Linked DNA regions of Arabidopsis thaliana. The protein of the gene in region 1 interacts with the protein of each later gene in a pairwise test. Each region holds a gene or a part of one and is shown in the gene's direction. Other genes may lie near its edges.

Region 1 (5,502 bases):
TGAAATATGTTACAATAAAAATTTGGTTTCATTTCTTCTTCTTTCTTGGTGCGTTTTCTCTGATAAACGACGCCGTATGAAGCTGGCGAGACACAGACCTCTCATTTCGACGCTTTCTTCTTCGTGAAACTCTTCATTTGTTTTATATTGGAAACAGAGTCTCTCTTATGAATCAAAGCGACAAACTTTGAGAAGGCAGGCGAAAATCTCGGATGGGTTCCATCGCTCTGCAATCTTGGAGCAGAGGAGCTTCAACTTCTCTTCATCTCCTTTTTCGTCCAGGTAGGTAAGTGCGATTCCTAACTTGATATGATCATATATATGAGAATTCGACAAAGATTTTTGGTTGAAATTTGCTTACTTGATGATCAGTTGGCTCGAACCCTAAGCTATATGATGCTCGAAGAGTACAAGTAAGATTCTTTAATGTTGCCGCTTCTTGGTCCGAACAGATGATCTCTTATACTATAGTCTGTTTATTTTGTCTTTTGGGTTTTAAGTTTGATGTAAGAGCCTCTTCAAGTCGTAAATCACTTAAGAAACTCAAAAGAGAGTCACAACAAGGTAAAGACATAGGCTTAAGAAATGTTACAGATGAAGAAGTTTCTTCTCCAAGATTTGAGGAAGCTCAAGTTGATTCTTCAACTTCAAAGGACTCCATTGATGTTTTTGTTGCTGCTCCTCGAGACAAAGTGCTTCAGGCTTGCACTGTAACTTCCGGTTTGATGGCTGCACTAGGTCTGATCATCAGAAAGGTGAATCCCAAATCTGAAAGTTTATGATTTTGTGATTCTAGCATTTGTATCTTGCTGATTTGGTTACCGCTTGCAGGCGTCTCATGTTGCTTCGACTGAAGGATTACTGGTTCCAGACTGCTCTATAGATGTACCATGTAACATCTCGGAAAACGATTATGTTGTGTACTAAGAATCCTTTGAGAGATTCAGTAACCAAAACATGTTTTGTATTGCATGATCTTTCTTGCAGTTGGGTTTGAAACTTGGCATCTCGGTTTAATTGCTGGAATCGTTGTGTTTATATCGTCAAGTAGGTTCTTGCTACTTAAATCTTGGCCAGATTTTGCTGATTCTAGTGAAGCAGCAAACCGACAGGTCAAAACATTACACATTATATACATTTATACGATTCTTTAAACTCCGCTTATTGTCTCCTTTGGTATTCACTACTTGCAGATTCTCACTTCCCTCGAACCTCTAGATTACCTTGTTGTTGCAATGTTACCGGGAATAAGTGAGGTAACAATAAACAATCACAATAAAACACAGAAAGGCTCTCCTTTAGAAAATGTCGTTCATTGGTTTGATTTGGTGTATTCACAGGAGCTGCTGTTTAGAGGTGCATTAATGCCTTTGTTCGGAACTAATTGGAATGGTATTGTAGCGGTTGGCCTCATTTTCGGTTTACTTCATCTCGGGAGCGGAAGAAAGTATTCTTTTGCAGTTTGGTAAGCCGTTTTTACTGAACATTTTGGTACCTCAATGCTGATGAGAATTGCGTAGACCGAATCTTGATATTAGATGATTGCCTTTAACATGTTCTTGCATCTCTCTATCACATTTCCGAGGTTTTCCTATTGAATTCTTTGCGGTTTCTTGAAATTTTCAGGGCTTCGATTGTCGGTATAGTCTACGGTTATGCAGCTGTTTTGTCGTCGAGTCTTATCGTTCCAATGGCCTCGCACGCACTCAACAATTTGGTGGGAGGTCTGTTGTGGCGATATAGTTCCAAGATCAAGTCATTGGAGTGAAATAAACAAAATTTACAACAGGGTTGAATTAAAAAAGTATACAATTTTAATGGGTGGGTTTGTGAAATCTCTCAATAGTATAGGGTGGTTATGTCAAAAATCTATAATAGAGGGTGGTTATTGTAATTTTAATGTACCAACTTGTCACAAAGGACAAGTATGAAAAATCTATAATTATAGAAGTGAAAAGTGAAAAACCAATCAGAATTGTTACCGGAAAAAGGAAGTGTCTTCTGGTCAAAAAAGTCAGAGAAGAAGAGAGAAACGTGAACAATGAAGAGACAGAGACGTCTCTTCTCTTATGCGAAAGTGTGAATCTTTTAAAGCTTTTTGTTTCAACATCGATAAATGAAGTTTCTTTTATTGAATTTATAGAAATTTGCACACTTTACCTTGACATTAAAGCAACAAGCTTTGAAACCAAATAAAATCTCAAAAACCCAGAAAGCGAGTGGAGAAGAGAGAGCTGATATGCTACAATAGAAATGGCGAGTGGATGTGCTCTACATGGTGGTTGTCCCAGCGATTACGTCGCCGTCGCAATTTCAGTCATCTGCTTCTTCGTGTATGTGTTCGAGCTTAAAAATCCCATTTTTGGGTTTTAGTTTTGAAGATCTAGATTTTTCATTTACTGGGTTTGCTTGTTGACTCTTGACTTGAGTCAAAATCTCGAATTTTGTGTCTTTAATCGTTTAAAATTTTCATACGATGTCTCTCTTTGCTATTTTAACTCTTTGTATTGTAAGTGTTTGATGTTATGTATCAAAAGATCTGTCTTTTGTTTCGTTTCAGTTTCTTTTAGCTGGGAATTAGATGGTTTCAGTATCTTGATAGCAAGATTCATATATTATGTCGGAATCGATTATTGAACTTAGATTTGAAGTTCAAAAGCTTGATTTAATGGACTAATTGAGTGGATTTGTATCATGAGTTAACTTCCAAGTAGTTCAATTTCTCTATTAAGTTGATTCTATCTGATGGATTTCACTTTGTTTATTTAGGCTGTTATCGCGCTCAGTGTTACCGTGTTTGATTCATAAGGCTCCTCGTACTAACAGTAGCAGTTTCTGGATCCCTGTTATTCAAGTTATCTCCAGCTTCAACCTTCTCTTCTCAATTATGGTTAGACTACTTGACTTGATGATTCCGTTGCTCTTAAGAATCACTTCATTTGTTGAGTTTCTACACTAATAGACTGTTTTATATTTAATTTTCAGATGTCAGTTAATTTGCTTCGATTCAGGACGAAACATTGGTGGCGATATTGCTATCTTTGGGCAGGTTTGTTTGGAAACCATGATTCCTCATCTTCGTAAACAAATTGACAGTTATATCAATAAGTCTTGTATAATTTGGTTTCAGTGTGGATTGAAGGACCACTTGGGTTTGGTTTGTTGATGAGCTGCCGTATAACTCAGGCATTTCAACTATACTTCATATTTGTCAAGTGAGGTTCAATGTTGATCAAAATGTTTTTGGATTCCAATTCTATCTCTATTGGTGTAATTGAGTTTAATGCTGTTTGGTTGTTACATATTCTTTGCAATGTAGGAAACGTCTACCTCCGGTAAAATCATACATTTTCCTCCCCCTTGTTTTGTTGCCATGGATCTTCGGAGCTGCAAGTAAGAATTGTTCTGAACGTTATATGTACTGAGCAGTTCTTGGTTTCTCTTGTTTTGGATAATAATAACTCAAAGCTTTTGATTTTGCATTTAGTTATCCACGCAACAAAGCCTCTCAACGATAAATGCCACATGGGTCTTCAATGGACTTTCCCAGTTGCAGGCCTTCATGCTCTCTATGTCCTTGCTTTAATTGCATTCACAAGAGCAGTTCGACATGTAGAGTTTCGTTTTGACGAGCTTAGAGATCTCTGGAAAGGAATTCTCGTCTCAGCCACTTCAATCGTTATATGGGTAACAGCGTTTGTGTTGAATGAGATTCATGAAGAAATCTCTTGGCTTCAGGTTGCTTCAAGATTTGTGCTTTTAGTCACGGTATGAAAGCTAATACCAGGACTGTTCTTTATATTTGCAGTTGGAATACCTTTTTAACAGACTTCTGAGTTGATTCTTCTTTCAGGGTGGGATTCTCGTCGTTGTCTTCTTTTCCATCTCGAGTAACCAACCTCTTCTTTCACAAATCAGCTTGAAGAAAAGACAAAACTTTGAGTTTCAAAGAATGGGTCAAGCTCTAGGCATTCCCGATAGCGGATTATTATTTCGGAAGGAGGAGTTTCGACCTGTTGACCCAAACGAGCCACTCGATAAGCTTCTTCTCAATAAAAGATTTCGCCATTCGTTTATGGAATTTGCTGATAGGTACTCCATTCAATACCTGACCTCATATATATCCCGGTTTCACCATTTATTTAAACTAATTCGTTATATGCTGGTAGCTGCTACGCTGGAGAAACATTGCATTTTTTTGAAGAGGTGTATGAACATGGTAAAATCCCGGAAGATGATTCGATAAGAAGAATCTACATGGCTCGACATATCATGGAGAAGTTCATCGTCGCAGGTTAATTACATATCCATCTTCCCTCTTCTTTATAGACCTGTCTCGTGTGTTCTCTCTATAAATCTAACTAGTAATTCCTTAAAACACAGGAGCGGAAATGGAATTGAACTTATCTCATAAAACCCGACAAGAGATCTTAACCACTCAAGATCTAACTCACACTGATCTCTTCAAGAACGCATTAAACGAAGTCATGCAATTGATCAAGATGGTAAAATAACATCTCTCTTTCACTCTCTTACGCACGCCTTCAAGCTATTCTCTTGATTCTCATTTTTTTGTGCTCATGAATTTGAAGAACTTGGTAAGAGATTACTGGTCATCCATCTACTTCATCAAGTTCAAAGAAGAAGAAAGCTGCCACGAGGCAATGCATAAGGAAGGATACAGTTTTTCATCTCCAAGACTGAGTTCAGTTCAAGGCTCTGATGATCCTTTCTATCAAGAACATATGTCAAAGAGTTCCAGATGCAGTAGTCCCGGTTAAGGAGTCTAAAACTGGTACTAGACCAGAACCCAAACCAATGTTCATAGCAATCCAATCCATGTAATCTTCCTTCACATTTCTTGTACATGTCATTTTCTCTCTTGTTATACCTAACTGTAAGAGAAAATGTCCGGTTCGGATTTTGGTTTAGTTTTAAATGTGTATACCGGACAAAAACTATGGAACCATACTAATTAATATCTCGAAGAATTTATACGTATATGCCATCTGTTTCACCAAGAATAAAAAAGCACCTGCAGATTGATCTTCATGTCCTTGCAGAGTGATGATGTTGCATCACATGTTTCATGATGTGATGACATATCCATTGGCCTCGCTAAGGCTTTTCATCAACATTTTGACATAATGTTTTTTTCCACCACTATATTTTGACGTGTACAACATCTATAACGAGAAGGTGGGATGGTCATCAAATATTTCAATTTTAGAATATAATTTGTTACTGAAAAGAGAAAGTTGAAGAATTTTTTAGGTTTATCATATGATTAAATGATATTAAAAGTTTTAAATATCTATAAAATATAAAATTAAATATTGTTGAGCAGCAATAAAATGTCTTTAGGTAAGTTTTTAAAAAAAAAAATCATCTGTTACCATTTAAGCTCTAAATTATTCAGTAAAATTCTGCAAGAAATGTCAATTAAACCCTAAATTCAGTAACTTAGCCAGATTTATTCTGCTGTTAACATATAAAAATTAA
Region 2 (7,881 bases), on another chromosome or scaffold:
TATGAGTGTATCATACTCTAACAATTTCTTCATTTGTTGTTGATTTGGTCTATTTTGGTTCCATAAAAGACATATATATTACCAACGACCACGGAACCCGTATATGAACAATTGAACGTCAACGGTATATGAACAATTGAACAATTGAACCCGTATAATTTTATTTTATTTCTACAACCATTTAATTCAACTTTGGAGACCAGTCAAATCCATTTGGATAAAAAGAAAGTTATGGGCTAAAAGTGTAAAGCTTGAGAAATAAAGGGGTAGGGTTGGAAATAAAGGAAATGGGTTTGGTAAGAGAAGAAGAGTGGGTTGGTGAAGATAGCGAGAGATATATTGATTGGGCTTTGGTGGAAGAGTGGGCCCATGTTGACGATATAACCGAAGCAATAGTCCAAGTAAAAATTGAAATATTTGACGATAAATCTTCATTTCTTCACCAACCCCACCATTTTTAATATTCTTTTATATAAAAATCGTAATAATCATGACCATAATACATATATCTCCAAAATCAATGGACAATATAGCCTTCACCAAACTCATCCTTCAACTGATATGTTTTTTTTTAAAACCGGAGGTATTAGAGACCGAAAATTTTGAAATTAATAAGAATTTGGGTCTTTTTTAAGACTAAAAAAATATTTACAAATGACCAAAATGCAAGATGCAAGAATTTTTTGTTTTCTGAGAAAAATCTATATAAAACGTAAAATCTCATCAAAAATTCTACATTTCAAACGGGCTACTAAGTACTAACCCATCACAACTTGGTTTGATTTGTTCGTAAATGGGTTCTTGTATTGAGATTTATTTACTATTAGGCTTAGAAAAAGATTCACCACACAAATGCTATGGATATTGGCATTGCATTTACAACCAATTGTGTCAGCAAAAGAAAAGAGACAATTAATGGATAATAATCATATATAGCTATTTATTTTTGTGAAAGCGATGTCAAAATATAAGTGAATACAAAACTGCTTCGTCAATATGCCAAATGTAAGGCTTTGACAAAAAAATATATATGCCAAATGTAATGGACAGTGATACTATTACTTTTCGACATGAATCATTTATTACATAATAATGCTTGAAAGTGATTGAGAATGTATTAATTCAAATGCTACGAACTGATCAACATTTGTATGCAAAAACATATTAGTACATATTTTCTTATCAAATAATAGTTTTAAACATGAAGAATAGACTATATTCCATAGACCAAACATCTGAATATTCTTAAAACAAGGATAAAACGATAATATGTACCATGAAACCAGTCTTAGGAATTATTTACATAGTAATTAGTAAAAGACTATTTATGCAAAGTCATGTTTTATACATTTCTCAAAAAGAGAATGGATTAAAGTAATTATGGCAAGTATCGAGACCCATGCTTAGTTGGGTTTGGTAATAAGATACGCTTCACGCTTGTGTGTGATGTCTTTTCCAATTGATAAAAGTTTAGGCATTTTACTTGAGAGTATAAATTATCATTTTGTTATATTTCAAACAAATTATATGAATGTTGTGTAAGATTTCTTTCATTTTCGGAAATGTTTCTTACAAAACATGCAAAAGAAAGGTTTGGAGAATGTCTCTCTCTAGTCTCTTACCCGTGTCTCCTAATAAGCCTAACCTTTACCAAACATGAAGACTCAAAAACTCATGCTGTTGTTGGTGAATGGCAAAACCGTCAATTCAATGGTCCACACCAACACACATGGTGAAGAAGTCCAAGTCATCAAATGTTGATTGATTCTACAGCTCTGCAAAAAGATTTACTTTTCAGTTTCCATCATATAACTTCTCAACTCCTCTCATAATCCAAATCTTATGTGCTATTGTTTAGTGTCATTATCTGTGTAACCACCTTACTTCGTCTTCTTAACCAGAAAAATGAATCAAAATATTGAAGAAATAAAGTTTATTTTGCTGATTGTTTGCTTGTTAGTACCTTCAGCTGCAACACTTCTAGGAGTCAGCAAAAGAATTTTTCAAGAGACAGGTAACACTTTTCAATCTTGATAAATTCAAATCTCATTTTCTTGCAACTAAACTCGAACACATTGCGAAAACCTTGTTTCACCTTTTATGAACGTAAAAAATGTTATCTACTCATAAAAAAAACAAAGTCAGCAACAATCTTCATAAATATGCAACGGTTATCAGTCACCTAATCGTATACGAAATCATCAACAGAGGCCACTTGACCTAGCGAGCCACCACTGAAAAAGGCCAATTAAAGTAAAGCATCATAGTTCAAAAGTCAAAACTGTTACAAGATACTGATTTTTCACCTTTATTATATTTTTGATAGTCCTTCAAATCATTACAGTTTATTAGTCTCTGTTTGTATTCTTACCTTAAAGCTCTGCAACTAAACTGCTACCAGTGGATGGACAATAATGCGAAAAATCTATGTTTTGTGTTCAGTTTTAATGCACAAGAGAGCAAAAAAACGGAGTATCCCTCTGCATAAGGCAAACATGAGTTAATGAAGGTTCAATGTACATCCACAAGCTATAAAATAGTTTTCAAGTCTATAACAATAAAATCAACGGTTTTCTCGCAGATTTGCTACTGTACGTTAAAATGAACGTAAGTACAAGTGAATCACTACTAATCTACTAGTCTCAAGAATTGTGCTTTGTATCTATGCTGCATCTGGCTAGCTTAAAGAGATTCAGTGAACCATCATTCTTTTCTTCGTAGAAGCCTTCATTTTCTATGTTGATCACTAATTATATAGCTACTCGTTAAGTACCACATTAGGGATTAAAACAACAAATGTAAAATTAGATTAAAAATTCGAAATTCGATGAACATTTAATCGTATCATGATTGAGATTCAGGGTATTGAGATATAGAAAGATATATAATTAAGCTAATTAGTGATCTTCCTTGCTTGATTACACCATAGTTTTTGGAGAGACTTCTTGGTCAGTTATCCACATTCTCGCTCCGCCATCGCGTACCATATGATCCTAAGATTCCGGCGGACGTTGTTTTAAACTGTGTTCATAGAATCACAGTTAGTGATATGTGATCAAAGTAGAGCGAAGAAGAGTGTTAGTTGTTTCTTTCTTAACCGAAAATAAACGGTCTTGTTTTTTATCTTCCTTTGTGGAATTATATCAACAACCAAAAAAGCCAATTTACAGCTAAGCAGATATGACTATTATTTTCTCATGATGAAGTTTAATTTTATTATATCGTTATTTAAAATTATAATACTCATATTTAAAATCAAAATATTATTAAGTTTCCAGAGAAGACATAACTCTCACTTTTTGTTTTGACCCTTACATTACTAGTGAGATCTTTATATACACAAACTGTCATGTGAAACTGTAATTTAAATGGATAAAGACAAATGTATATTGTGAAGTAGGAACTACAGTATATATTTTCTTCTCTTTTTTCCAACATGTAGGAACACATATCTTTATCCAAAAAAAAAAAAGAAAGCTTAAAAATGAAAAAAATCTACATCCACTAAATTTCAACACTGTGAAAAAAAAGAAATATATTGTTTTTATCTCAAATTAGTCGTTTAGAGAAAAATGTAAGTTTGAAAATAAATGAGATTTCCCTGCATTAAATTTTTACAATTAGTAATATATTAAAAGCTGTGAACTAATTCCAGAAAAAGTGATAAAACCAAAAATAAGAAAAAATTAATACCAAATAATATTAACATTTTTTAGTTTTGTTTTTTTAATAAAGAGAGAAAAAAAAAGAGAGTGTTGTGTGATTTTATTTGTTTGTCGAAATCTGGGAATCATCTGATACTCTTCTTCTTCTCCTCCTTCATCGATTTGCTTCAATCATCTATCGGCGACGAGCTCCATCCGGTTTGTCTCCTAATCAGAATCTCTGATTTCCCGATCCGGCTAATTCCTCATCGTCGGATCAATTAGATTATCTTATCCCAAGGAGAGGAGTGTGTGTGAATCGGAGAGAGCGAGAGACAGAGAGAGAGAGAGGGAAATGAACGGTGGTGATGAGGTCGTCGCAGCTTCGGCAGACCCATCTCTGCCTTTGGAATGGAGATTCTCTCAGGTCTTCGGTGAACGAAGCGCTGGTGAAGAAGTTCAAGAAGGTTACACATCTCTCTTTGACTTTGTCTCTCTGTGCTTTTGATTTTCATCAGCTCACTATTCGATCTATTCGGAATTGGGGTTTTTGAATCTGGATATGTTAGATCTATTGGGTGTTCTTTGATTGTTCGATTCAATGAAAAAGTTTTGATTTTTGGTCTACTTTGTATCTGGGTAAATTGAAAGTTGTAAGCTTTGTAGTTGAATTAGATTCAATAGTCGTTTTTCGTTTTGCTGAATCGATGTTATTCTGAATTTTAGTTGAAATTTCTTAAAAACTGTAGCTGGTGTTTCCTCTGCAGTTGATATAATCTCAGCGATTGAATTTGATAATTCTGGAAACCATCTTGCTACTGGGGACCGTGGAGGACGTGTTGTTCTTTTCGAGAGAACCGATACCAATAATGTATGTCCACTTTACCTTGTAATCGTTTTTCTGATATGGGATTTGGATCATTTTGGTTATATGTTGTTGTTGCATGCTGTGGATTACAGAGCAGTGGAACCAGAAGAGAGCTTGAAGAAGCTGATTATCCACTGAGGCATCCAGAGTTTCGTTATAAAACAGAGTTTCAGAGTCATGACCCTGAGGTATTTGATTTACTCTGTTTTCTTCTTACTCAGCTATTTGGCTATACCTTTTATCTGTCTTTTCATGCTCTATCCTTGTTTACCAGTTTGATTACCTCAAGAGTTTGGAGATAGAGGAGAAAATTAACAAAATTAGATGGTGTCAAACAGCAAATGGAGCTCTTTTTCTCCTCTCGACCAATGATAAAACCATCAAGTTTTGGAAGGTGAAAACTTCATCTATTTCGTTTGTTTGCCTCTGAATGACATACTGTTAAGATAGGAAGTTTTTGTTTGCTTCTGGATATTTAAGGTGTAAAGCTGATACTTTCATATTCAATCTTTAGAACGTTGAAATTTGAACTCTCTGGCGTTGACATTGTTTGGTGTGTATCTAAATGGTTCTACATCCTTAATTAGTACAGAGTTTCTTTCCTCTTTTTCTTATGTGAGAGTCTTAACAGGTTCAAGACAAGAAGATCAAGAAAATCTGTGATATGAATTCAGATCCTTCAAGAACTGTAGGAAACGGAACCGTTGCAAGCTCGAGCAATTCAAACATTACAAACTCATGCCTTGTGAATGGAGGAGTATCTGAAGTGAACAACTCCTTATGTAATGACTTCTCATTGCCAGCAGGAGGCATCTCTTCGCTGCGATTACCAGTGGTAGTTGTACCCTGAACAATATGTTTTCTTTATTCTCTGTGTCTTCCTAAATATTTATGCTTGTTTCAGCACTAACTTAAGTAAAACCTGCATCATAGAGCCAACCATTTATCTAACCTCTTTCTGGGTGATTGCTAAAACTCAAATGCAGGGTTTTGCATTGGCGCCAATTGAGTCGAAGTAATATAGATCATATCATGTAGTATATGCGTCCAGAAAAATGATACACTTTGCTCAAATTTACTGTTCATTGGTGCTGGACTTGTGTTTTTCGTACTTGTGCATTTTCCCATTCCATGGCCTTCACTACCACTGATTAGGAATTGATTCTTAAGTCATGCAATATTACTTAATATTGCTCATTTGTAGACTAATAGTTCATTTGACATATACAGGTAACTAGCCATGAGTCGAGCCCTGTGGCTAGATGTCGAAGAGTATATGCTCATGCTCATGATTATCATATTAATTCAATCTCAAATAACAGGTAGGTTATTCACCCATTGGAATTCAACTTGCTTCCTTCTTACTAGCAACTGCTTTATTTGTCCGCAAAAAATTCAATGATGTCACTATAAGTCGTCTGATAAATCATTGTCTATCCAGATAATCAATGCACCTTTTCAAGTTCCTATCCAAACGGACACCTTGTTGATATTAGCTCGAGTTCTATACTTTCATTGATAATGTTCTGCTCCTAATAATTTTTCTCTTATAATTAGCGACGGCGAAACATTTATTTCTGCTGATGATTTGCGAATTAATCTTTGGAATCTGGAAATTAGCAATCAAAGTTTCAATATTGTTGATGTCAAGCCTGCGAAAATGGAAGATCTATCTGGTAAGCCTTGGTCTACTGTTATCTCAGTCTAATATGTTCTCTTATACGGTACCCATTTATCATGCAATTGGATGCGATATCCTTCGAATTTACGACCATATTCGTTCATGCAGAGGTTATCACATCAGCAGAATTTCATCCTACCCATTGCAATATGTTAGCCTATAGCAGTTCGAAAGGTTCAATTCGCCTGATTGATCTGCGCCAGTCAGCTTTATGTGATTCACATTCAAAATTGTAAGTCTTGAGACTGGCAATTATGTTAAGTTTTTTTAGAGTCCAGTATATCTTGAAAGGAGGATCTAAAAACTTGTATAATCATCTCAATTACTTCTTTATTTCATCAAAATTTGATTGCTAAACATTTTATTCCAACATGAGAGATAAGTTTATAGCATCATACCATGTAATACTCAATTAATATTGAGATGGATAAAGCTGCATGAGAGCAAATTAATGACATTACTCTTTTGTAGGATTTGATAACCTGTGGTAGCAGCAAAGGCTAATATTGCTTGTTTCTGCAGGTTTGAGGAACCAGAGCAAGCAGGTCCTAAATCGTTCTTTACTGAGATAATTGCTTCAGTCTCAGACATCAAATTTGCAAAAGAAGGAAGATATCTACTTAGCCGTGACTATATGACACTTAAGGTCCATATTTTCACTGTTTTCATCATTCAATATGATATCCCCTCGAAGTTATCAGTGGCTGGTTTCGATTTGTTCGTGTAAGGTAAACTGACCCCATGTTATGTTTTACATGCCAGTTATGGGACATCAACATGGACGCAGGTCCAGTAGCAACTTTCCAGGTTCATGAATATTTGAAACCAAAGGTCAGTTTCCTAATATTTTGAGAGAGATACATTTGGCGAGTTGGTGCTTTGCTGAATGGTATTCCCTTTGTGGTCATTTTCAGCTCTGTGATTTATATGAAAATGATTCCATCTTTGACAAGTTCGAGTGTTGTATAAGTGGCAATGGCTTGCGAGCAGCTACAGGTTCTTACAGGTATGCCAAGAAGCAGAGCATCTTATTTTGTTATTCGCATTTTCGAATGACTATGATTCCTTGTATAAATCATTTGTTCGGTTTCATACACTTTCCAGCAATCTGTTCCGTGTGTTTGGTGTTGCCCCCGGAAGTACTGAGACGGCAACCTTAGAAGCAAGCAGAAACCCAATGAGGTAAACTTGGTAAAGCCATTAACAGTAGTGTGCTCTTCTGTTTTTTCTCTCTTGGTGAAATGGAATTTGTGTTGTGGTTTATCATAGGAGACATGTCCCAATTCCGTCGAGGCCATCCAGAGCACTAAGCAGTATAACGCGTGTCGTAAGTAGAGGTCGGTATCTCTCTCTCTATCATCTCGCTCGTTTAAGCATTATTAAAAAATTGGCATGAATAGAATAAATACTGAAATTTGTAAAACAGGATCAGAGAGTCCGGGAGTCGATGGGAATACTAATGCTCTTGATTACACAACAAAGCTGCTGCATCTTGCTTGGCATCCAAACGAGAACTCAATTGCTTGCGCCGCTGCAAATAGCTTGTACATGTACTATGCTTAACTCAATACTCAGCAAAAAAGAAGAAGAAGCAGAAAAGGCGCATTTCCTTGCTCTAGACTCTGTTTTTCTTGGTTCCGTATGGTTTGATTGATGGGGATTGCTATATACATCATCATGATTGTCAC
Region 3 (5,597 bases), on another chromosome or scaffold:
AAAGATTGACATAACCAAAGAAGAAGATCCTTACCGCCACATGAAAGGTGGGATTTGCATAGATGGTGCTATACACTATGGAGTTTTGTATAGAAAAATAGCTAGATTTGATGTTAGAACCGAGAAGATTGAGTTCATTCAAGGACCAGAAGACTTTAATGCAATCTCATGTTATTCAACACTTATAAATTACCAAGGAAAATTAGCATGTGTAGCGTTTGACCCCTACTGTAACACTGAGATGGGTATGTATATTCTACAAGATGTTGAGAAACAAGAATGGTCAAGCATCATAACTTGTGATGTGCCTAGTGAGTGGGGAGATTTGTTTGAAAAAGAGAGATCTTTGTGCACCGGAAAGATTCATACGGGCGAGGTTATGATTGTTTCCACACCTGCGAGGTTAAAGTCATATATGCCATTTTTTGTTAACTATTGTGATATAACTAGGGAGAGTATTAGAAGATGTGAGATTGATGGAATTGCGGATTATGAGTTTAGACGTATCCATGGAATTGGTAAGCGTACTCGTGAAATGTTGTGTTTTCCAGGTCACATTGAGAATATTATCTTCTTTCATTAGACCATCCGCAACGAGGGGTTTTAGAGTGGTTCTTAGCTTTTTGATTGAATAAAATTAAATCAATAATGCTTTCTATTACAAGAGGCGCTCTTATGTAAGAGCGGTTGTTACTTTCTAAAAGATGTTGACGTGTCAATGGTGTAGTATTTTCTTTTTTATGAAACACAAAAAACATTATTTCCCTTTTGTTCCTCTCACGAGCATCAATTCTTCATCGAACTCATAGTTACCGGCGTTGTTTTGAGGCCACTACCATCGTCTCTCTCCGTAATCCTCTCCATCATCGTCATCTTCTCAGTTTCGAAGCATTTTCTCCTTTAATAGGTAAAATTATGTAATTTTCGTTTGTAAACAATGTTGAAATTGTAGAAGTTGGAATTCAGAAAGTGTTTTTTATCAATTCATTAGCTTTTGTAATATAGTCAATGATGGATTCATTAGCTTTTGACTGAAGATTTAAAGCTTATTATATATTGCATACCATGTGTTCGATGATATGCCTAAATGAATTCTGTCTACAGACTCTTTGATTTTGTGTATTAGTTTCAGAGAAATATGTATCTTAAGATGACAAATTGTAATTCTAAATAGTATAGTTTCAGAGAATTCTGATTGTTTGTTGGACGATGTAATCGAAAGTGGAAACGCTACAAGATTTGGTCCCTTAAAAGATGGTTTCATGTTCGAAACCTCAATTGGTTTATCAAGAATGTGAGTTTCAGTCTTGTTCCTTTCTTTTAGATGAAGTTCATTTCTTGACTCTCCTCACTTTACTCTTATTAAGTTTTTTTTTAGAAAAATTAAGAACCTCAACTTAATATACTACCATTGATCATGCCAAAACTTAAAATTCTTACCCAAACTCTTAACAAAACTTTCAAAATCAATTCATAAAATATTACTAAAAGCCTTTGCTAATAACCTACCATTGTGGATGCTCTTAGCTTCTCCTTTCTTTGGAGATATATATTTTCTTTTGTTTAAAAGATTTTGCTTTGGTTCTATACTATTTTTATAGAGCCTCATGAGACTAATCTTTGAAAGTGCTTTAGCAAAGTTTTGTCTTGCAGTTTGTGAGTTTTTTTTTGTCATCTGAAAATATATATTGATTAGGATGAGACCACAACAAACATCAGGTTGGAAACAATAAAACAGACGCACCATAACTACTCTTCACCTATACTAAACACCTTAACGAATAAGGCCTTTACAAAGGACTGCTATTTGCTGATGCATCTTCAATAATCAATCTCCACTCTGGAATCAACCTCAAAGTATCCAAAATTAGAGCCGCTTGATATCTATAAGATGGCAATGCTTTTGGTCTTAAAACAGGACCAATCAATTCCGAATCTTGCAAACCAACATACAAAGCATGGAATGGAATATCAGACATCCATCCTCAGTATTAATTAGCCTACCATTCTTTCTGAAGTTTTGACTTCATGAGCTCGTCAGCTTTGACTTCACCTCAGTGGACACACTGCCAGAAAAATACACAAGGATTAAAGCAAGATTCACCTATATCAAACACTTAGAAAAAGGGATTAGAACCATAGAGTTTATTTCATCATCTTGTGGAGAAAACTGACTCTGAAGATCAGATACAGAAATATCTCACAATCCTTAGATGACAAACAAAAAGAAACGAATGTTGGGGGCGATTTTTGGTACTTCTGCTGGCTTTACCCCATTTGGGCCGGCTCTGAACAAAAAATGAGAAGAGCTTCACTTTTGTCTAACTGAATCTTTTCAACCAATTATGTGCCGCCATTTGCTAAACTTTCTGTAGACAGAACCGTACATGATTATTCTCTCCTCCTTGGTTGGTCGTCTCCATCAAGGTAAGAGTGTTGTGTTCAAAACCCTTAAACCCAACTGATCAAACGCATACATACATAACTCCGTCATCTTCGTCTTTACTCCAAAATTCCAGACATTTGAAGCTTTTAAGCATCTGGGTATTTGATCTTCTATCCACAGATCATAGAAACCCAAGAGGCAAATGTCTATTTCCCTAAAAATTTCCCACATTTCAAGTTTCTCCAACGATGGGTTCAATAGTGTAAAGCAATGCAGAGTGAGTCAAAGGTTTGAAATTAGATCGGTTTGTTTCCGTAGAAGCCCTGGTGTTGAATCTAGACGGATCCATTTAAATTCGGACTTGTCTTCTCGGAATTTGAGAAACCGATGTGTAGGATCGGATGTGGTTACGGGTGAAATATCCGGTAGATCGATACCGGATTGGGCTTATAGTGGCGTAAAAGATGAGACTTTAAGCGATTTGGAGCCGGAACTTGATGATGGTGATGGCGGCGATGAGAATGGGAACAACGACGGTGGTGGAAATGGTGGTAATGGAGACGGAGGAGGAGGAGGTGGAGATGGAGAAGGAGATGATGGAGAGGATGAAGCAGATAAAGCTGAGGAGAAGGAGTTTGGTCCGATTTTGAAGTTTGAAGAAGTTATGAAAGAGACAGAACGTAGAGGGATTACGTTACCGGAGGATATGTTGGAAGCGGCTAAATCCGTGGGGATTCGAAAACTGTTCCTTCTTCGTTACCTTGATCTACAGGTTTTTGCTTTTGAGAAAAAATGATTCTGTTTTTGTATGATGGTGATTCATGTTTGAGTCTGAATTTTTTCGTAGGGTTCTGTTTGGCCGCTTGGGTTTCTGATGAGATCATGTGCGATGCTTCGAAATAGAATGCTTGCAGATCCTTCATTTCTCTTCAAAGTTGGAACCGAGGTTTGTCAATGAATAAGCTAATGCTGTTCTTGGACTAGTTATTTAGGATTGAAATTGAATGATCTTGTTCTACGGATTTAATGCAGGTAGCCATAGACTCTTGCTGTGCAACTTTTGCAGAAGTACAGAAGAGAGGGGAAGATTTCTGGTCAGAGTTTGAGTTATATGCTGCTGATCTTTTAGTTGGTCTTGTGGTTGATGTTGCCTTGGTTGGACTTTTGGCTCCTTATGCACGTATCGGGAAGCCGTCTGTGGCATCAACAGGTTTATTCAAGGATCTTAAACGTGCTTGTGCATCCCTTCCTAGCAGGTAATACTGTTACTGTATCTCTCTCGTTTTTTTCACTTTTGTGTTAACTGTTCCCACTGATATCTATCGAGCTGGTGGCTGTGTATTCGGGATGAGATGTACTTATACATGCTTTTTTTTTTGTACTTCTGAAGTGTTTTTGAAGCAGAAAGACCGGGTTGTAAATTCTCAGTTAACCAGCGGATTGCAACATTCTTCTACAAGGTATGGAGAAGAACTATTGCTTTAATGTCCTTTGTGGATCTTGCTTACCTTTGGTTTGATTAATTGATGTGATTCTTGGTCCAGGGCCTCTTGTATGGGTCGGTTGGATTCGGCTGCGGCCTCATTGGTCAGGGAATTGCAAATCTGATCATGACAGCAAAACGGTATTCTTTCACCATCGACTTTATCTTGCTACTTTTCAATGATGAAATGAATCTTCTGACTGTTTAAAAAACTGTTCTTCACTGAAATTTGAGGTTACCTTTGTTAATAGGAGTGTGAAGAAATCAGAGGAAGACGTCCCTATTCCACCTCTTTTCGAAAGCGCTGCTCTCTGGGGTAAGCTTTACTTTTGATCTCTAACTATGTTCTACAGAATCATCGATGCTTTTCCCCTCTGATGTTCACTGAAAACGATAGTCTTGAACCGTCGATATTGTGTTGTCTACTCTTTTTCCGAGTTCTTGTGATCAGCCATCGGTTTCTTAACCGGGCTTAGTTTCTTAGAAAGGAAAGAACCTGAATTGCCAATGATACCAAGAATAGATTATGCTTACAATTCTATGTGAAGATATTAGCTACATTGTCCTGTTGTTAGCAATATTAGATCAATGGAGAGGGTAATTTAGTTGCTGAGCTCAGAGATAACCCTGAAGTTTACTCTGTGAATTGTTGATTACATATACATATATATTCACTCTCTTCTCTGTATTGCGCTGTTGTTCAGGTGTGTTCCTCGGCTTATCTTCCAATGCGCGTTACCAAATCATCAACGGCCTCGAACGCGTCGTGGAAGGTTCTACAGCGGCCAAACGTATCCCTGTGGTCGCTATGGCATTCACGGTGGGAGTCCGGTTTGCTAACAATGTGTATGGCGGTATGCAATTTGTAGATTGGGCTAAATTGTCCGGCGTTCAGTAATCAACCGGTTCGGTTTTGTTACAAACCGGATAGTAAACTAGCCTAGATGTCAATCCTCAGGAGTATGAGAGTATCTCTAATCTGATGGGGAAGTTTAGTTATCTGAGTTTCATTAGTGTGATTAGGTTATTTACCGAGAGCTACAGAAAGAGAATCTGGTTCATGATACGGACCGGATTCTTCTAACCGGAATACTACTCGATACAACATTTTCAATTTGGTTTTGGAAGTTGAGTTTCTCATGGTATCCTTGTCTCTCTTATTCATTTTTCTGAATCATATACTTGCAATAATGACTCAAACTTTTTATCAGCCGTTAGCCTCTGCGTTTTTATAAAGTTTATAACAATATGATCACAATGGCGAATTATGTCAACTAAACGTCATTTTTGACGTTTGCGTTGATTCATTCTTCTGTGTTTTTTTTTTCACTTTTCCCACCGTTAAAAGTGAGAAGGGGAAAAGGAGAATTGTTGGTAGGTGGAGATATTAAAAGTAATAAATAAAAATATTTAAAGCAACTATGAGTGAGTATATTACAAAAAAATCTTTCGATATTTATTTGCAAGGAAAATATTCTTAGGATACTTTGATGGTAAGGCATCATTCGATAGATGGAGGATCTTGCGAGTGACAGCTTAGTAACCACTGTCATCCAACTGCTGCATGATCCTCATCTTTTGTTCTCTTGTTTCTGTTTTGTGCCCCTTAATGATATTTTATTTATACTCCTTTACTTAATTTGAACAATTTATATTATATGCCCTATAGATTAATTAATGTGAATACCAAATGGTAATCAAAAGCTGACGACTGTTCAAAGGAACATT
Region 4 (7,321 bases), 5.6 Mb from region 1:
CGGACTTCGGGCCATCATTGCTGCTTGTTGACTTTTGTGTCCCACGTCTATCCATGGAGTAAGCAAATATATTTTATCTTAATAAGTATATAGAGAACAATATGCTCTACTAGTTTGTTTAAGAATGTTTCAGTTGGAGACTTTTTAATATATGTAAGCTCAGAAGTTGATCTCTAAAGACATGTTTACATGGGATGATTCATTTGTTATATGTACCACCAGTTGAGCATTTCAGCTCCTAATCTTGAATTGTGTGTTTTAGCTTTTAGTTTTGTCCGATAAAATGTCTTGTCGTTAAAGCTTAAAGCAGAACAGAAATGCAAATATTTCTGAACATGTATTGTTTTACTATACTTAGCTTCAATTGCATAATCCAAGAATTTTTAATTTTGCTGTTCTACTATTCTTAGCTGCAACTGTTGTAAAGATATACTTTGGTAATTTCCAAAAGATCAGTTGCATTTTCTTAAATTTCAAAAGCATAGGCAAGTACATAAATATCAAAAGAACTGGAAAAATTTGTAAATGTCATAGGATTTAGGGTAAATGTATAAATACCAAAGACACTTGGGACAATTTCATAAATATCTAAATACCTAGAGCAATTTGTTGAATACTTAGGAATCTGGTCTGATTTCTAAATTTCATAAACACCTAAAGATGGGTGCGATTTCGCATTTTAAATAGTTGACGTATGAGCCGAAAACTCGTTGCATGCAAGTATTCATCTAATAACATTTCTATAATTAGAAACCACAACAAAATTAAAAATAATAATAATAGGCCAATTTTTTTTCTTTTGTCCAAAGACCTGATTTGGGTCGTGTATGACACTGTATCTCTCCGATATTTAAGTCAGAGCTGATTTAGATAAATCTCCTCCTATTAGTTCGGTATTAGGTGAAATGGTCTGAGCGAATTCTTGCCCGGATTACTTATATCCGAGTATAATACTGACATCTTCGTCAGTTTAGATCTCTTTGAGAAATATCAAAACAAGTAACACGCTCTTCTGATCTTTGTGATATAGGACGAATTTTATAAATATATACCTTGAAGCCAACACAGAAATATCACAATATAGATTTTTTTTCTTGTTTTTCTACTGATTACCATTTCAAGTTCTTCAACAAAAGTCTCTTGAGACGTCACACACAGGAGTGACAAGTATACGTGGTAACTTTTTTTTTTTTTTTTGGACAAATATACGTGGTAACTAAAACTATGTAAGTCCAGGAATTTAAAATTTCAAGTGTATCCAACAATTGTGTATATATTAAACATTTTAAACCTACCACTATGTTTCTTCAACAAAGCCCTTCACGGCCCCACTGCCCATACACACAAACAAGTGACAAGCAATTTTGAATCCATTTGATTAAATTTAATATCTTAAGCAAATTAAAATAACAAAGAAAACAAAAACTAGCTTGCTCGTGGTAGTCTTGAAACCGTTGTTTTGTATGCCCATAGTTTACTGATGTTATTTTCTTTGGTTACTTTACTTATTAGTTTATTGACAAATTTGACATTATGATTACAATAGTGAAGCTTGGTTAATTAAATTACTTTATTGACATAATTATTATATATAAAATAATGAAGAAATTGTATGTTTTACACGCAGTACTCGATAACCAATAGAATTCTTTTTCTGTGGATCAGTATTGAGTATTGACCCGTGGGTATTGACCAACTACTTACAATTATTATAACTTAAAACAAAATTGTATCTCTCTAAACAAAGCATAATTAGTATTAAAGAAAACCAAGTTGTCGAAGAGAAGAGAGACTAGTATAAAATGATCCAACAAAGCTATTCAAATTCTTCACACTTCACTACTTATCATTTCTCTTCTTCATACTTTTCTCAAAATTTGCAATAGCTCCCTCCATCTTTCGCTTCATTCACTACATATTTCTAGTGACCTCCTTCGCCAGTGACTTTCCGTAGCAATTTAAGGTAATCTATTCTTGTAATGTATTATAATGAGAGGTTATAAGGTTTCAATGATTAGTTTAGTTTATGAAAATTTTTAATGCTCTGAATGTTTATGACATGCTAAACATTAGAACCTTCAAATATTTTTAGTTGAGTATGGTTAAAAAAGGTTTCACTGCTAATTAATTGATTTTTTTTTGGAAAAGTAAATCAATGGATTTTTGATTTCATTTTTTTTTATCTAGCAACACTAAAAATAGAATTATATACTCGGACATTTTTCCGACACATGTAACATCGCTTAGCCTAAACTAAACTATTTAACTTTTTGTTGATTGGTGGTAAGAGGAAATTAAAAGCTTTTTAGAGGGAATATGCTTTGAAAGATTCTTTAATAGTGTCATTTACTTTAGGATAAGAATAAAATTAGCATTGTCGTAAAAAGCATGCAACAAACACATTATAAACTTTTCTTCTTCTAAGAAAATAATTCAATTTAACAATTTAAGTTATTCGCTAATATATATATATATATATTTTACAAAATTTTCAGCTAACAAATCATGTTTTCATTTTTTTGTTTTTGTTAAATATGATAATCTTTCAATATATTTACTTTAGCTACTTTACGTTCCACAAAATATAAAATATTTCTTTTAATCAACAATAGATGTAAGATTTGATACCAAAAAATTTCTTGTTCATCAAGACAAATTAATGATTTATTTATATTTATTAATTAATATTAATTTTTCTTGATCTATGTGATAAAATAAAAAAGATCTTTTTTATTTTAGATATTTTAGAATGATTCAGAAAATAAAACCAATAGCGTATATTCTGTTCTACTCGTCTTCTAATTTTGAAAATAATATTTTCACAGAGAATTTTCCAGCTATATGTCGAAATCTTTTGTATTTTTTTTTGCTATAAAAGAAAATTCGTTGAATTACTTTAATTCATGGTTTGATTTATCTTTTCCTCCATTACTTATTTGAGAAGCCATAAACACCGCTGCTTTGAAATGGATACTGGATGCAAAATGTTTAAAGAAACTTAAATTGGACAGAATAAAGATGATTCTTTCAATATTTTATGTTGGAAAATATATATAATCAATTAATCATCTAACTTTAAAAAGTTAAGATAATTTTTGTATGATGGAATTTAACTAACTTTTTTCATAAGTCATAATCAATTTTTCCTTATATAGGCAAGCATTTTGAATTAACCTCTCTCCATTATCTTACTACATTTCTTCATCTTCTTATTCTCTGCAGTTTCAAAAGCTTTGTGATTGTGTTTGAAATGGCAAACGCAGAACGTGTAATAACGCGAGTCCACAGCCAGCGAGAGCGTTTGGATGCAACTCTTGTTGCTCAGAAAAATGAAGTATTTGCTTTGCTCTCAAGGTATTACAACACAACAACACTTTAAACTAACTAACTTGTCTTGTAAGATTACCTACAAAAAAAACCTAAATACTCTGTTTCTTTCTCCTTTTTTAGGGTTGAAGCCAAAGGCAAAGGCATTCTACAACACCACCAGATCATTGCTGAATTTGAGGCAATGCCTTTAGAGACACAGAAGAAGCTTAAAGGTGGAGCTTTCTTCGAATTTCTCCGATCAGCTCAAGAGGCAATTGTGTTACCACCATTTGTTGCTTTAGCTGTGAGACCAAGACCTGGAGTTTGGGAATACGTAAGAGTTAACCTCCATGATCTTGTCGTTGAGGAGCTTCAAGCTTCTGAATATCTTCAATTCAAGGAAGAGCTCGTCGATGGAATGTACGTTTTTCACCTCTTTATATCTTGTCTCTCTCTCTCTTGTTGCCCTTTTACTCAACTAATGTCATGACTATATCGCAGTAAGAATGGAAACTTCACTCTTGAACTTGACTTTGAACCATTCAACGCGGCATTCCCTCGTCCTACGCTCAACAAGTACATTGGAGATGGCGTTGAGTTCCTCAACCGCCATCTCTCGGCTAAGCTCTTCCATGACAAGGAGAGCTTGCATCCGCTGCTCAAGTTCCTCCGCCTCCATTCCCACGAGGGAAAGGTTTGATCACAAGCCACTCTCCTCTCCATTTGTTGTCTCAATAACAAAAGTCTAACATCGCTTTGTCTTTGCATCTGTGTAGACTCTGATGCTTAACAATAGGATCCAGAACCTAAACACCCTACAACACAATCTGAGAAAAGCAGAGGAATATCTAATGGAGCTGAAGCCTGAGACACTCTACTCAGAGTTTGAGCACAAGTTCCAGGAGATTGGTCTTGAGAGAGGCTGGGGAGACACCGCGGAGCGTGTTCTTAACATGATCCGTCTTCTTCTTGACCTTCTCGAGGCACCTGACCCTTGTACTCTTGAGAATTTCCTTGGAAGAATCCCAATGGTTTTCAACGTTGTGATCCTCTCTCCTCATGGATACTTTGCTCAGGACAATGTTCTTGGTTACCCTGACACAGGTGGTCAGGTCAGTAATGAAACATTTTGAAGATTTCTTCTTCTTTCTTCATTCCTTGATCGATCTTTAATCTCGTATATATATTCTTGAAGGTTGTTTACATTCTTGATCAAGTTCGTGCTCTCGAAACAGAGATGCTCCAACGCATCAAACAACAAGGACTCAACATCACTCCGAGAATCCTAATCGTAAGCTTATAGTGATTCTTCTTGTGTGTGTATGCAAAGATGTCTAAAACTGTTCTCTTATGTTTTCACAGATCACTCGGCTGCTTCCTGACGCAGCAGGAACCACTTGTGGTCAACGTCTAGAGAAAGTGTACGGATCTCAGTATTGTGATATCCTCCGTGTGCCTTTTAGAACAGAGAAAGGAATCGTTCGCAAATGGATATCAAGGTTTGAGGTCTGGCCGTATCTAGAGACTTTTACCGAGGTATAAATCCATTTTCTTCATGCAAAAACATGGATCTTGTTCACCCTTATTTGACTCAAATATATGAATAATGTGCCTTGTTTTTTCACAGGATGTTGCCGCTGAAATCTCGAAAGAGTTGCAGGGGAAGCCTGACTTGATCATTGGAAACTACAGTGATGGTAATCTTGTTGCATCCTTGTTAGCACACAAACTTGGTGTCACTCAGGTTTGTCTCTTGTTTCTATCCATAGCCATTGAGAAATATGTTGTCTTGCTCTAAAGCTAAGAATCTTTTGATTTATTATTACACAGTGCACCATCGCTCATGCTTTGGAGAAGACTAAGTACCCGGATTCTGATATCTACTGGAAGAAGCTCGACGAGAAGTATCACTTTTCTTGCCAGTTCACGGCTGATCTTATCGCCATGAACCACACAGATTTCATCATCACAAGTACTTTCCAAGAAATTGCTGGAAGGTAAAGAGAGAAGACTTGAGTCTCAAGAAAACAAGAATTTTCTACAATTTCCATTGGTTTAACGTTTGAGTTAAAAGCAACCTCTTTTCTTTTATAGCAAGGACACTGTTGGTCAATATGAGAGCCACAGATCTTTCACACTTCCCGGGTTGTACCGTGTAGTTCACGGTATTGATGTGTTTGATCCAAAGTTCAACATTGTCTCTCCTGGAGCAGATATGAGCATCTACTTCGCTTACACCGAGGAGAAGCGTAGATTAACTGCATTCCATCTAGAGATCGAGGAGCTCCTCTATAGTGATGTTGAAAACGAAGAGCACTTGTAAGCCTTTTATATGACTAATCTTGATCTTTAAATATGTCACGAAAAAAAACCTAACATTATTTATGCTTATACTTGAAAACAGATGTGTGCTTAAGGACAAGAAGAAGCCAATAATTTTCACCATGGCTAGGCTTGACCGTGTAAAGAACTTATCAGGTCTTGTTGAGTGGTACGGTAAGAACACTCGCTTGCGCGAACTGGTGAACTTGGTGGTTGTGGGTGGAGACAGGAGGAAAGAGTCACAGGACAACGAAGAGAAGGCCGAGATGAAGAAAATGTATGAACTGATAGAGGAATACAAACTCAACGGGCAATTCCGATGGATCTCTTCACAGATGAACAGAGTGAGAAACGGTGAGCTTTACCGTTACATATGTGACACTAAAGGTGCATTTGTGCAGCCTGCTCTTTATGAAGCCTTTGGGTTGACTGTTGTTGAGGCTATGACCTGTGGGTTACCGACTTTCGCTACTTGTAATGGCGGTCCTGCTGAGATCATTGTGCATGGAAAATCTGGTTTCCACATTGATCCATATCATGGTGACAAGGCAGCTGAGAGTCTTGCTGATTTCTTCACCAAGTGTAAGCATGACCCATCTCACTGGGATCAGATCTCATTGGGAGGACTTGAGAGGATCCAGGAGAAGTAAGTATAAAACTATAAGTGTGTTCTTCTTTTTTATAGTTTGAATGTTTTTAACAATCTTGTCGTGGGGTTTTGTAGATATACTTGGCAAATATACTCACAGAGGCTCTTGACATTGACTGGTGTCTACGGCTTTTGGAAACATGTCTCGAACCTTGACCGTCTTGAGAGTCGTCGATACCTTGAGATGTTCTACGCACTGAAGTACCGCCCACTGGTATACACTCTCTCTTCTTACCACACTTTATTAGACCCTTCTTAGTGTTGTTGTCTCTGGTGCAGTAATATCTCAAAGTCTCTTATTTCTCTTGTAGGCTCAAGCTGTTCCTCTTGCTCATGAAGAGTGAAAGAAGAAGATTTTCTACATTCTACAACAATAAAGATCTCTCTTTGTTATTTCACTCGTCATATTTTTCTTTCTTTTTTATGATATGCTTCACCATTGTTTTTTAAACTATTGATAATGTTTAATTATTAGTATTCAACATGAACAATGTAAAAAAAACTGATTACTAAACTACTTTAAGTCTAGCGTTAACCATAAAACATAGATCAATTATTAAAACGGCAATAACAACTAAGATAAAAGTACCGATTGCTGCTCGGCGTGCTGCTAAGCGGTGAGTGCAACCTCCTTGCTTCCATTCGGCACCACATGTGTAGCAAAACGAATAGCCACACCTATTCATCAACCATGCATAAACATTATAACAATGTTATTAATTGCGAGAGAAACATAATCAAATTTGTTTTAAAGAGCTAGAGAATGTAATGAAAATCTGCAAGTTAATTTGATGCATCCTTCCGAACGTTCGATCATGTGTTTGCAATTTCCACATTGACGCCACAATTTCTGATTTGCTAAAAATTTTAGCTTCATATCATTTGCACTAGGATTTGAACCCAACCTCTTGTAATCACCGCATGACAAGTCACTATGCCATGGAACTTTGCAGTTGATGCAAAAGGGTTCACCGCATTTGACACAACATCTCCTAACTTGAGTGTCTTGAGTAGAAGATATATAGAGCTCTGTTACCGACA

The links.
Region 2: the proteins of RGS1 (region 1) and B ALPHA interact in a two-hybrid assay, tested with the Arabidopsis thaliana proteins (one large-scale study listed by BioGRID).
Region 3: the proteins of RGS1 (region 1) and RER1 interact in a two-hybrid assay, tested with the Arabidopsis thaliana proteins (one large-scale study listed by BioGRID).
Region 4: the proteins of RGS1 (region 1) and SUS4 interact in a two-hybrid assay, tested with the Arabidopsis thaliana proteins (one large-scale study listed by BioGRID).

The regions. Positions count from the first base shown.
Region 1 is NC_003074.8:9,530,630-9,536,131, forward strand, and holds RGS1 (REGULATOR OF G-PROTEIN SIGNALING 1), read left to right. Parts: upstream 1-1,983; 5' UTR 1,984-2,253; coding exon 2,254-2,333; intron 2,334-2,769; coding exon 2,770-2,890; intron 2,891-2,985; coding exon 2,986-3,049; intron 3,050-3,130; coding exon 3,131-3,215; intron 3,216-3,319; coding exon 3,320-3,393; intron 3,394-3,487; coding exon 3,488-3,768; intron 3,769-3,853; coding exon 3,854-4,092; intron 4,093-4,169; coding exon 4,170-4,294; intron 4,295-4,383; coding exon 4,384-4,505; coding exon of another isoform or gene 4,506-4,514; exon of another isoform or gene 4,515-4,530; intron 4,531-4,592; coding exon 4,593-4,781; 3' UTR 4,782-5,000; downstream 5,001-5,502. Other genes in the region: AT3G26085 (CAAX amino terminal protease family protein), read left to right, coding at 213-282, 373-755, 832-892, 988-1,112, 1,194-1,256, 1,341-1,465, 1,627-1,768.
Region 2 is NC_003070.9:19,162,219-19,170,099, forward strand, and holds the start of B ALPHA (protein phosphatase 2A 55 kDa regulatory subunit B alpha isoform), read left to right. Parts: upstream 1-1,856; 5' UTR 1,857-1,905; coding exon 1,906-2,014; exon of another isoform or gene 2,015-2,378; coding exon 2,379-2,472; exon of another isoform or gene 2,473-3,929; coding exon 3,930-4,111; intron 4,112-4,393; coding exon 4,394-4,515; intron 4,516-4,604; coding exon 4,605-4,700; intron 4,701-4,786; coding exon 4,787-4,906; intron 4,907-5,143; coding exon 5,144-5,350; intron 5,351-5,742; coding exon 5,743-5,834; intron 5,835-6,069; coding exon 6,070-6,188; intron 6,189-6,301; coding exon 6,302-6,425; intron 6,426-6,715; coding exon 6,716-6,839; intron 6,840-6,955; coding exon 6,956-7,024; intron 7,025-7,107; coding exon 7,108-7,199; intron 7,200-7,297; coding exon 7,298-7,375; intron 7,376-7,462; coding exon 7,463-7,530; intron 7,531-7,619; coding exon 7,620-7,756; 3' UTR 7,757-7,881. UniProt on the Arabidopsis thaliana protein: The B regulatory subunit may modulate substrate selectivity and catalytic activity, and may also direct the localization of the catalytic enzyme to a particular subcellular compartment.
Region 3 is NC_003076.8:7,598,565-7,604,161, reverse strand, and holds RER1 (reticulata-related 1), read left to right. Parts: upstream 1-1,639; 5' UTR 1,640-2,588; coding exon 2,589-3,158; intron 3,159-3,233; coding exon 3,234-3,332; intron 3,333-3,418; coding exon 3,419-3,642; intron 3,643-3,776; coding exon 3,777-3,846; intron 3,847-3,930; coding exon 3,931-4,010; intron 4,011-4,120; coding exon 4,121-4,185; intron 4,186-4,573; coding exon 4,574-4,767; 3' UTR 4,768-5,081; downstream 5,082-5,597. Other genes in the region: AT5G22791 (F-box family protein), read left to right, coding at 1-583. UniProt on the Arabidopsis thaliana protein: May play a role in leaf development.
Region 4 is NC_003074.8:15,178,507-15,185,827, reverse strand, and holds SUS4 (sucrose synthase 4), read left to right. Parts: upstream 1-1,722; 5' UTR 1,723-1,963; intron 1,964-3,163; exon of another isoform or gene 3,164-3,222; 5' UTR 3,223-3,250; coding exon 3,251-3,354; intron 3,355-3,450; coding exon 3,451-3,729; intron 3,730-3,810; coding exon 3,811-4,003; intron 4,004-4,085; coding exon 4,086-4,421; intron 4,422-4,504; coding exon 4,505-4,600; intron 4,601-4,671; coding exon 4,672-4,845; intron 4,846-4,936; coding exon 4,937-5,053; intron 5,054-5,139; coding exon 5,140-5,306; intron 5,307-5,403; coding exon 5,404-5,628; intron 5,629-5,713; coding exon 5,714-6,277; intron 6,278-6,355; coding exon 6,356-6,494; intron 6,495-6,591; coding exon 6,592-6,624; 3' UTR 6,625-6,818; downstream 6,819-7,321. Other genes in the region: AT3G43180 (RING/U-box superfamily protein), read right to left, coding at 6,891-6,958, 7,186-7,309. UniProt on the Arabidopsis thaliana protein: Sucrose-cleaving enzyme that provides UDP-glucose and fructose for various metabolic pathways.